Ovis aries: one gene and its partners. The protein of the gene in region 2 interacts with the protein of the main gene of each other region in a biochemical or structural test. Links are inferred from orthologs where the notes say so. Each region holds a gene or a part of one and is shown on either strand. Other genes may lie near its edges.

What was found.
Region 1: the proteins of TNRC6B (region 2) and protein argonaute-1 form a complex in vitro, tested with the Homo sapiens proteins (2 studies listed by BioGRID and IntAct). The link is inferred for Ovis aries from reciprocal best matches to the Homo sapiens genes TNRC6B and AGO1.
Region 3: the proteins of TNRC6B (region 2) and AGO2 form a complex in vitro, tested with the Homo sapiens proteins (3 studies listed by BioGRID and IntAct, with this or other methods). The link is inferred for Ovis aries from reciprocal best matches to the Homo sapiens genes TNRC6B and AGO2.

The regions. Positions count from the first base shown.
Region 1 is NC_056054.1:10,821,592-10,825,986, reverse strand, and holds the start of protein argonaute-1, read right to left. Parts: upstream 2,858-4,395; 5' UTR 2,648-2,857; coding exon 2,623-2,647; intron 1-2,622.
Region 2 is NC_056056.1:217,420,847-217,424,489, reverse strand, and holds part of TNRC6B (trinucleotide repeat-containing gene 6B protein), read right to left. Parts: intron 2,161-3,643; coding exon 1-2,160.
Region 3 is NC_056062.1:16,051,012-16,054,654, forward strand, and holds part of AGO2 (protein argonaute-2), read left to right. Parts: intron 1-390; coding exon 391-575; intron 576-1,635; coding exon 1,636-1,795; intron 1,796-3,643.

The DNA of each region.
Region 1 (4,395 bases), on a different chromosome or scaffold from region 2:
GGGCTCTGAAAAGGACACTCCCCCTCCCCCATCCCCAGCCAGCCCTGGGAAGGAAAAGTAACAGCCTAAAGGCCTGGCTCAGGGACCCCTTCCCTGCAGTTCTGAGGCCCACATACCTACCAATAGGCTAGACTGCCCATTCAAAACACAAACTCAAGACTAGGTTAGCTGTCCAGTAAGCAAAGAAGAGCCGCCCAATCTCTCCAAAAAGAATTTATCCACACACGAAGTACACACAAATTATTAGATATCCATACAATGTACTTAACCATTTATGCTCACAATGGAATGTGACTCAATTGAAAAAACAAAGATGTACTTGTGTCAAGGCCTAGCCATTAGTTGGTTCCACAGATAAATCAGACACCAACTCCACCCTCTAGGAGCTCCCAGTCCAGTACATGTGCTTGAAACACACCTAAGCACAGATGGCACATCTGGCCTTGAGCCCAGTGAAGCCAGAGACAACACACTGCTTTGTGTACTGTGTCCTCCAACCTCCAAGAAAACAGTCCTAGCCTAGGAAGGAGGCAGTTATGGGATCCCTCTACTCACAGCTTCCAGAATGAATTTCAATCACACCCGCTGATGAGGTAAAGGCTGCCCCATTAGGCTACAGCCAACTCCAGATACCAGGCTCTAGTTCCTTCCCTAGAAGCTTATTTATTGTAACAACAACCAAAAACAAAAAGTCAATTTTTTCATCACTCTCGAGACCACACGGAATTCATCAGAATAAAACCATAAGCAGTCTGGTATGGGTGCCAGCTCCCACCAATCCGTCTGGACTTCCGTGTCCTACTACTCTAGTCCCAGGGGTTGCTGCAAGTAGTCTCCAGCCCAGAAAACCAAGAGAGTTCATGGAAGGGAGAGAGGAGCCTAAGGGAAAAAGGAAGCATTAATAGTTTTCTGAAGTCAGTTGACCCCTGCATTCCACCTTAAGGCTTATACAGCCTTTACAAGGTTGTTTCCATCTTGGTGAAAGTAGTCGCTAAGTACTTAAAGATCACTGAATGAATGACTTGAATGAAGTGGCAGGAGTTATTTCCTTAAGAGTATAAGATCTGGTATAAAAGACAAAGATGCTTGCTTCAACCAGAAATGAAATCCATGTCCCAAATGAAATAAAATTCATGTCCCAAATAGAAATTCTATTCTCCCCTCCAGATCAAACGGAAGTAGTGAGACAGATCTAAAAGATTCCAGACTGCTCCTCCCACCAAAAAGATAAGACGCCTAGGACACAGGAGGTGCCACCACCCTCACCCCATCCAGGAACTCTGGCCTTCTCGGGACAGTCTTGCCTCAGTTTCCCCTCTAATCTCCTTTTCTCCTGATGGTGAATAAGAAGTTAAGGCTATCACCTGGGACACACTATGGTGAAGGCTATAAACTTCCCCCTATCCCATACAACTTATATATGACAAAAGGCTCGCCTGACAACGCTGGGTCTAATAACATGGCTCTGACAATTTCTGGGGGAGTAGAGAGAGCAAAAAGAAAAGATACCCAGTAGGGGAAAGCAACCATAAAAACATTAAGGCATAGAAAGATTAGGCTGTCAACTCAGGAAACATTCAATAGAGAGGTCATTATCCTTGGATTAAAAGATCCCAACTCTGCTCACCATTGAACCAGAAACATGCAAACCAGGCAAACAATCCCTTCTACGGAAACCAGGTCCTGGCCTTGGTCCCTCAGCAACCAATACATTCTCTAAGGCCTGTCTTCAAGGAGGACCTGTCCCTAACCTAAAACATTGCTCCCATCCGTCTTTCCTCATCCTAGTGGCGGAATAAGAAACTTGTCCATCTCCCTCAACCTAGTCTTGGCAAATTGAGACTGAAGGTTTCAGAGTCAAGCCTAAGACCCCCAAGATGGGGAAGGGACCCATTTCCATTTGTGTCCTGCCAGCATAACCTAAGAGAGACTACAAGCCATCAGCGCTCCCCTTTTACCAAGTCAACCTGGCGGGGCTAAGGGTAGGGGGGTTCGGGCGGCCACGCCCCCACCACATCGGGCAGCCCCTTCCAGCTGCCACCTACGCGCATGCTCCGGCGCCTCCACTCCAGCTCCCAGACTTAAGGGGGGGAATCCCAGGGCTGGATCCCCACCCACTGCCCCCTGACCCTCGCCCCCGCGTCAGGCCCGGCTGGGGCGGAGCTCACAGCCCAGCTCTGGCGCCTTCTCCCAAAAGACATCAACCCAGCCCAACCCATACCGGCTGAGCCCCCGCCCAGGGCATGCGGCAGCTCTGGGCCCATTTGTGTCGACCTCCCTCTCCTGGACACCTGGAGCCCGCCCCCTGCCACCTGCCGGGCCTCTCCCTAGGCCTCCTGGTACCTCCAGGAGTCCTCCTGTGCGTTCAGGCCCTTCTTCCAAAGCACTTCCTACCTCCACGAGTGCATACAGGCTCCTTTGATAAATGGCCCCCGTCTCAGAGCTTCCCTTCGCAAGGTTTCCCCCGGAACTGCACACAACCCCCTTCAAACTGGGCCCCCCATCTCAGAAGAGCCCCGTTCCCCACTCAGGAAACCCTTCCTCACTCCGAAACCCTGCTCTTCACGCGAGAGTCCCCTAGTCCTTGGAGCATGCACCGTCCCCGCTCCTGGGGGCCCTTACCTGCTCCCGAGGGTCCCGCTTCCATCCCATATACCCGTGCGGAGATCAGGCGGCCCGGAGACTGTGGAGTCCAGCGTGAGGGGCCTAGGTACCCCGCACGTTTGCTGCCTGGGCTCCCGGGCCGGGCTCGGCTGCCCCCCCAAGCCCGGCCGCTCGCGCCGCCGCCCCCGCAGCCTCCGTTGCCGCCGCCGCCGCGGAGCCTGCAGCAGCTCCCCCTGCGAGCGCCCGGCCAGCTGCCAGTGCGCAGGCGCGACCGCCAGGCCCAGGGGGCGGACGGGAACGAGTCAAACGGGGCGCTCCGACGGCAACAAAGGCCAATGGAGAGGGGCGGGGGCACCGGGGACCGGAGGCAGCGGCCCCTGGCGGTCACCCATCGCCATGCAGCCCGGCGGGAGGGCTCCGGTAAAGGCGCCGCGGAACCGCGCAGTGGCGTAAGTGGGGCGGGGCGGGAGGACAACACACCCCCAACCCCCACCCCGCAGCAGCCTCCGGCCTTGTCTTTTCCCCAAACACGTTCCTCCAAGCCTACACACAACCTCCCCCCATTCGCACAGGGCCACGCGCATATTGCCACCTCATTCCCAGGCCACCCTCACACACTCCGAGAGCCCCATCACCCAGGGGCCCTGCCTCCCACCTCTCCTCCCAATCACCCTCATCCTTCAAGCCTCGGCTGCAAAGCGACTGCCTCCGCGAAGCCTTTCTCCGTCCCTAGTCACTGAACTCACTGACGCCACCCTCTCTTCCAGGCCGAGTACTGGGCGCTGAGACCAGAGATATGAAAGAGACCCTGCCTACCCTGGAAGATGTCACCGTCTCAACTTAAGTGCATCTACTGAGCTCTACCTACGGGCTGGGAAGCACCTCTCCACTTTCTTACAGCCCACGCTTGAATTCAGTCAATCCACTTCTGACCTCACCACCTCACTTAAAACACTTTTTGTGTCAAAATTCAAAGGATAATTTTCAATTCTTATTTTGCTGCAGCATCTGACACTGTGCCTCTCCTTCCTTTTTGAGTCTTTTATTTGGCTTCAGCATTTTCTGAGGTCTCCTATTGCCTAAGTCCTTTTCGGTTTTCTTCAAGAGCCCCCCCTCTTGTTTTTGATCCATTAAAAAAAGTGTTCACCTTGTTTTCAAACCTAGCTGTCTTCTCATTCTAATCTCCACTTTTTTGCTTCAAGGTCTCATCCATTCTTATGGCTTAACTATCCTTCCAAATCTCTATTTCCAACCATGTCTCAGACTCATATTTCCAAGTGTCTGCTGGACAGCTCCACCTGGATCTACCAGCACTTCAAATTTTAAGAGTTCAAAACCAAACTCTTATCTTTGCTCCCACAAAAGTGCTTGCCCTATACCTCCTGTCTCTACAAAGGGCACCTTCATCCCAGAAATGACCGCTTCTCTCTCTCCCTTGCTTCTAACCCTATACAGCAGTTCACAAAGTCCTGACCTGTTTACCTGCTCATATGGTCTCCTGACATGCTTGTGAAGGCTCCCTGTGCTGATGCAGGCCCTTATCATATCTTGACAAAAGTATCACAGTCACCTCCTTGTTAGTCTCAGTTTCTAGGAACATTTCTCCTATTCACTCTGCATCAACTGATAGGTGCTGAGAGACCCAGCTCAAACATCACTTTTCCATATATTCATTCATATATATTAATCCATCTGTATTTTTGATGCCTACTTTACACCAGATGCTAGGAACTCAAGAGAAGCCATACCCAGTCGCTACCCACTAGAAAGATTAATTTCTGACACTTTTCA
Region 2 (3,643 bases):
TGGGTTCCTCATCCTTGGGGGTTACTGGCTGCGGCCCGCTGCTCCAGTTGGAATTGGAAGGTCGTCCGTTGCCTGGAGGTGGTGGGGCTGGGCCTCCCCAGGAGCCAGAGGCCTCGGGTTGTGGTGGTGGTAGCTGCTGCGGTGGCTGCTGCTGTTGGTGCTGTTTGTTCCAGGAACCGGGCTGTCTGCCTGTCTCCGTCCACGCCGGAGACCTTTTGCAATCTTCCCACCCGCCTTTGGAAGCCAGGCTTGCGTTCCCACCGCTACCCCAAGTCCCGATTTCACTCTGCCCACCTTCGCCCCACCCGGACACAGGTTTACTTGCAGCATTTTCCCAATTGCTGGTTTTCGCCTGATCAACCTCCTCTCCCCAACCATTCTTTCCAGAAGTCCATCCTTGGTTGGGCTGGCGTCCACCTCCCCACCCCTGATCCTTGCTGGAGTTCTCGTTCCAAGAGGAAGATGTCTTCTCGTCCGGTCGTCCCCCTCCCCAGTTGGAAGAGTTGTTGTTCTTATAGTCGTTCCAGCCTCCTGTGTTCTTGGGGTCTTTCCACTCTGCAGAGGCTGAGAGCTCTCCCCATCCAGACTTCATCTGATTGCTTTGGCTGGGCGCGTCTCCCCAGCCCCCTGAGCTCTTGGTCTGTGTGGCAGCGCTCTCCCACCCCTCAGTCCCTTTGTCAGACTTCCCCTCGGGCCTTGGCACCTCTTCAATGTCCCACACCGTGTCTTGCTTAATTTGAGTTTGGCCCCAGCCAGTGTTTGAGAGCACCCTGGGGTCCAAATCAGTTCGGCTCAAAAGAGTCTGCAAGACAGCCTGACAATCAGGATGTGTGGGCCGGTACGACCGACGGCCAGAATTGTGACTGTCACTACTTCCTGCTTTGTGGTTGCTTCCAGTGCTTTGACCTCCAACTTCACTTCCCGTGGAGCTGGAAGATCTTCCCCAACAGGGAGCCTGGGCATTGCCTTGGTTTTCAGGGAGGGGGTGGCCCTTCTGATTGTCCCATGCTCCAGTGCTAGAATTTGGTTGGTTTGGACCACTCCATTCTCCAATTTTCAACTCGTCAGACCCAGTCGGCTGTTTCCATTCTCCCTGAGAGACCCCGGATGTCATTTTGTTCCCTTCACCCCATTTGTTGTCATTAGAGTCCTGAGGGCCAAAGTTCCAGGACCCACCCGTAGACCTGTTATTGTTGTCCCAAGAGTCACTTTTTGACCCGGTTGATTTCTGAACAGGAGCTCCCTTCCAGGAGTCCTCTCTCTCCTTTCCATTGTTCCCATTGTTTCCAGAATTGCTTTGTCCAGAGGCTGTGTCAGTTCCAGAAGGCCCCCTAGCTGCACCCCAAGATCCAACACTCCCAGTCTTTCGATCTCCAGTGCTTTGTGAAGGGGCATCAGTGCTCCTGGAGGCGTTCCCCAAGCCCATCCCAAAGGGCATTCCCTTATTCTCCATGGGGTTTGGTGAACTTGAGTTCAAGGAGTTAGTGTTTCCATTTTTTGGTCCATCAGTGTTATGAATTTGAGCCTGCTCTCTGCCAGAGACAACAAAATTAACACCCGCATTTTCCATCTTTGACTGCTGTTCCCTGGATGCCTGACCTACTGCGCTAACCTGTGCACTGGAATTACTAGTCTCCGTTTCCAATGCCCCTTTCCTAGAACTTCCTTCTTGGACCAGTGCTGGCCAGGCAGATGGGTTGCTATTTGGGTTAAAGTTGCTGAAGCCAGAGCCAGGTCCAATTCTCTCCTGACCACTCACATTCCTCCAGTTTCCTAGTCCATTGTTGCTCTCCGTAGTAGGATTGGAAGATTGAACAGATTTAGCCTTAGGGTCAGATTTCCAGACCCCAAGATTACATTCGTTCCCGGAACTTGCAGACTGGCACTGGCTCCCTTTTCCTTTGTTACTAGTGGTGCTTCCTGGCAGAGTGCTCTTCTCAGAGCCAGGGTTCGAGGCACTGTTGTTATCGGTGGTGTTTTCGGAAGAAGACTCAGTGTCTTTGCTGGCAATGCAAGGCCACTCTTCCATGTCAGACCCGTCTACAATCACCTTGTCCCAGATGTGAATGGGGTTGGGGGAGGCGCCGCTGTTGGAGGAGGCTCCCGGGCCCCAAGTGGAATTTGCATAATTTGAAGCAGCAGCACCTCCAAGGGTTGACTCTGAGAAAGAGATGGTCTCATTAATCACAGTGGCACATGCATCATCTCAACACCTCGAGCTCAAACCGCCCCAAAAGTGAGCTTATCACTTCCCCACAAACTAGTTCTCTGCCCACTGCCTGCCTTGCTTAACTGTGTCACGCCTGAGCTCTCTTCTGTCTTGCCTGGCTGGTGTATTTGCTAACTCTAACCCCCAGAGCCTCTCAAAGCTATCCTCGTGCTACTTCCAGGGACAGAGAAGGGACTTCCCGTATCCTGAGACAATGCAGCTAATAGCCTATCCTTGCTTTACAGCTACAACCCACTCTAAACACCCCTAGTATTAATAAAGAACACCTCTGATTATATCACTGCTCTATGGAAAGCACTGGAGAGTTTTGTAGTGCATTAAGAATAAAGCTAAACTCTTGGTCCTGAGGTCTGATCAAGATGCTCCACAACCTGGGACCCACTGACTTTTCCATTTTCCCCTTTCTCTGCTTTCTCTGATGATGCCCACACTCTACAAACTGCACCTTCTCACCCTGGCTCCATTCCCCACGGGCATCTACTGTTCTTTCCTTTGGAATTCACACGCTGAGATCTATCCATCTTTCTGGGTCTAGTGCAAGTGCCACTTCTTCTATGAAGTTTTTTTAAGCTTGCCACCTGAAAACAGCCTTTCTCTTCCTGGAGCTGTTTTGCTCCGTGTATCACACTCACCTCTTCCTTCCCTCACATGAATGCTCTCCAGGCAGAGACCTATCTTGCTAATGTTTGAATTCCATGTGGCAGCCAGGGCACGGCTGCTCAGTAAGCAGCTGCTGAATGATGAATGCCCACCCAGCTAGATGCCGGGGCAGGCAAGCATGAATCAGTTTGTATGCCCAAGGAACTTGATAAAAAGAGTCTGGCTCAGAGCATATTTGATTGGCGTGGGAAGGAGGGGGAATGACCTGTTTTTAAGACCAATAATTTCCTCTAAACGTATTTCAGTTCTTTTTAACCAAACAGCTTTAAACCGATATGAAGTTAAAAAAAAAAAAAATTACATAGCACCATATAAAAGTAAGAAAGCGGAGAATTTCAAACTCTTGAGATCAGGGGCCTCCTAGGTTTTAAGAATGTAAACAGGAGAGTGACTCATGCTGGACCCACGTCTACGTCCAGGCCTGGCGAGACTCAGCTGCTGAAGTGCTCGACACAAACACCCTCACACTTCCCTTTGCAATTGGTGACGAGGGGCCAGGAAGGAAGGGCCAGGAGGCCGTTCTCTGTCTGGGCTGGGCCTGTCCTGACGGCTACCAAAGGAAGCCTCATGAACAGGGCTTGTCTCTGTATGAGACCTATGTCACTGCCAGCTTTTTCTCCATCTTTACTTTGCACATAAGATGGTAAAAAAAATTCTCTAGGCAATTCTATGTTCAAATTAGAACTAGAATAAAGCATCCTACCATTAACAACCACCAATTCACTGTCCTTGTCAATGCTTGATGGTCTTCAA
Region 3 (3,643 bases), on a different chromosome or scaffold from region 2:
GGGGGAATCCAAAGGGATAGTCAGTTCATGGCTCTCATTGCCCTGACAGTGCTCGGCGTCTGCGGGCAAGTGGGCAGCAGCTGTTTGTGCCCGACTGTAAAAGAACAGCCCTGTCGCTGCCTGGGAGGGTCACAGCTGGTGGGGGCGGCGAGGCCACGATATGGCGTCTCCTGTTACATTCTGACTTTTCAGGGACCTGTGTGCTGAGCACGTGGGCAGCCTCTGTACATTGTCTTGTTGAAACAACCTCATCTCGGGCTTCAGCAGGGACTCAGCTCAATGAAAACGGCCTGGGGTCTGGATCAGTTAACACTGCCCTTTCTCGGGGCCTCTGGTGGGTCTGGATCGTCGGCACTCTGGGTTCTTCATGTAACGACCCTGCTCCTCCAGGTCCTTCACGGAGCAGCTCAGAAAGATCTCAAGAGATGCGGGCATGCCCATCCAGGGCCAGCCATGCTTCTGTAAATATGCCCAGGGGGCGGACAGCGTGGAGCCCATGTTCCGGCACTTGAAGAACACGTACGCTGGCCTGCAGCTGGTGGTGGTCATCCTGCCGGGGAAGACCCCCGTTTACGGTAGGTCTTGGTGCTGCCCCTGCCCTGGCCCTACGGGTGTGCGGTGCGGCCTCTGCCACACCCAGGAGGGGCCTGTGTCTGAGTGAGACCAGGTGGTGTATGATTGTGGCATGCACGTGCCCAGGGCCACCTTGGCAGTGTCATCTGAGGCCCCGGTTCCCTGGGATGGGTGTCCCGAGGGGGTGCGGGATGCGGCAGGCGTGCAGTTACCTTGTCCGCTGCTGACACAGACTTCGGCTGGATGAAGAATGGTCACACGATATGCACGCAGTAATCCCCTCGGAGGGGCGGGGGCAGTCCTCAGCTCCTATTTGGGACTTGGCCCTCCTCTTGTGAACCGTGCCATCTTAGAATCCTCTGGGATTTGATCAGAGTCCTTTCTGCCAGAAGGCCGGTTGCACTTCTACCTAGCTCAGAGTTTCCAAGCCCTGGGATGGAGTCCCAGGCCCTGGTGGGGGAAGCTCCCGGGTGTAGGCAAGCGTTGGGGAGGTGGGTGCATGTGGGTCTGCTGGAAGCCCGGTGGGAACCGGAGGCCCCGTGCAGGGAGGTGTGTGGGCACCATGGGGAAGAGGGAAGAGAGGCGCGATTGGCTCGCTGACTGGCTTCCCCGTCTCCCATGGGCTTTGCATCCAGGAGCAGGAGGAAGCCCGGGTGACTTCTCCCAGGGTCTCCCGTCTCTGCTGGCCTGTCCAGAGAGCAGTTGCCCACTCGCTTCACAAGAGAACCCAGAATGGAGGGGGGTGTAGGCCTGGAGAGCACTTTGGCATCGGGTTTGTATTGGCCAGGGACTAAGGATTCAGGGGTTTATATTTTTGACTACTCAAGCGTTTGCTTGCTGACCCGAGTGCCTGGTTTCCAACCTGGCCCTGTGCACACTGCCCTGTCGGCCTGGAGAAGTTGCAGAAACGCTCCTGACTGAGAGCGGGCCTCCCTGAGCCGGTGGGGGACGCCCCGCAACTGGCACGGAGCTGGGTCCAGGCTTGGCCGTGTGTGTGTCAGGCGCACGGGGTGGGCAGAGGAGCGCCGGGAAGCCGTGCTGAGCACCCTGTTCTCTCGGCAGCCGAGGTCAAGCGTGTGGGAGACACGGTGCTGGGCATGGCCACGCAGTGCGTGCAGATGAAGAACGTGCAGAGGACCACGCCGCAGACCCTGTCCAACCTCTGTCTGAAAATCAACGTCAAACTGGGCGGCGTGAACAACATCCTGCTGCCGCAGGGGAGGTGAGGCTGGCCCTCTGCCATGCATGGGGCAGCGGTGGTGACACCCTGGGCAGGGCGATGCTGGGGTGGCTCTGCTCAGCTATGCTGAGTGCTGTCCCAGGCTTGGCAGGCGCAAGAAGTGAGTAGGACGAGGGTCTTGGCTGCTCCTGGTCTCCGTGTCCAAGGCCCCTGAGGACTGGTGCCGGCCCAAGGAGAAGGGCTCTCTGACCCCATCCGGAGGTGGGTCCCGCCTGTGAGATGTGGCAGCTGTGTGGCCAGTGCCGTGTAGACAGGAGGACCGCACCAGCACCCCAGGTGCCCTACGGTCAGTGCTAGGACAGGGGGCTTCCCGAGCAGGAGGCGGTGCTGTCGGCCCCAGGCCAGGGCCAGGCTCTGGGGGCTGAGCAGCAGTGATACAGCGGAAGGGAGCCCAGAAGGGTGAGGGCCTCATGGAGGAGGTGGCATGGTGCAGACTGGGCACTGGGGGCAGGGCTGTGTGGACACCAGGAGCAGCCTGCTCCAGAGGGTGCAGGCCGCGCAAGGGCCTTGGGGCAGCCTGCCTGCTGGGAGCGTGGCGGTCATTCGGCTCAGAGACCGAGGGGCGAGCCTGGGGGCCTGGCACTCGCTCCAGGGGAACACAGCCACTGGGGAGGTTCACAGGAGCGGCCCCGCTGACCTTGTTCTGAAAGGCGACCCCAGCTCTGGACAGACAGGAGGGCCAGGCCTGCCGGCGTCATCCCAGGAGAGCCACTGGTGGGAGCTAGGCCGGGGGCGCCCAGAGCCGTGACGTTTCGGCGATGGCGCTGCCTGGCTCACTGAGAGGATGCGTTTGGTCTGTGAGTGGAAGAGGAGAGTCTAGATTGCCCCACCCTGGGCTCTGGGAGCGATGAGGTGACGCCAGCTGAAGCAGGGGTGCAGGGGCGGGCTGGGGGGAGCCTGTGCTGGAGAGGCTTGTTCAGGGCTCCTCACGTGTGGGTGGTAGTTAGAGCTTGTGGGCTGGAGAGCACCCCGGGGTGCAGTGTAGACAGGAAGGACAGCCAAGCCTGGGCCCTGGGGGGTGCAGGGTTGGAAGGTCGTGGAGGCGAGGCGACAGCTCTGGAGCCCAGGAGGAGGTGGCGGGGAGCCCGTGCATGGCCGCCACACGGCACCGACCAGCCAGATGTGGCGAGGTGTGAGGCCCTCGGCCACAGGGCTGGGGGACGTGAGCAGGGTGCAGGTGACCCTGCAGAGAGCAGTCCTGTTGCCATGGCAGCGTGAGGCCCGGTCTGGAGGCAGGAGACGGGCTCAGCTAATCCCAGAGCTCTGCTGCCAGGCGAGCCTGGGAGCCGCGGGGCGGAGTGGACTGTCCAGTGGCTGCTGTGGTTGTGCCGGTTCAAAGTGTGAGTCAGAACTGCGTGTGTGGGTGCACCCAGGACCCATCAGAGGAAGGGGAGGGCAAGAGGAAAAGCTGTGGAGCCTGGGGGGCTCGGTGCAGGGCACCTGGGCAGCACGTGAGTCTGGGAGGAGAGAAGGATGAGGCATCAAGAAGGCTCCCAGTCGCACAGCCAGTGAGGCTGGGGCCCACCAGCTGTTGGAGAACTGGGCCCCCAACACTGCCTCTTTGGGGAGGTGACTGCTGGAGTGTAGCCAGCATTTAGAAGACCCTGGGAGAACAGCCTAGCTCTGTGTGTCCCCACTGGGACACATTCACCCCCCGAGAATATGTGGCTGTGTCTGGAGACACTGGGGTGCTGGGTAGAGAGCGATGTGGCTGCCAGGCGCCCTGCAGTGTGGCCGCAGGTCCAGGGTTGGCTGCAGACCTTGGACTCTGTGGACGCAACTATCTCGGAAACGCTCGGTCACCTCCCTCGTGCAGTGTGCGCCGCCTGC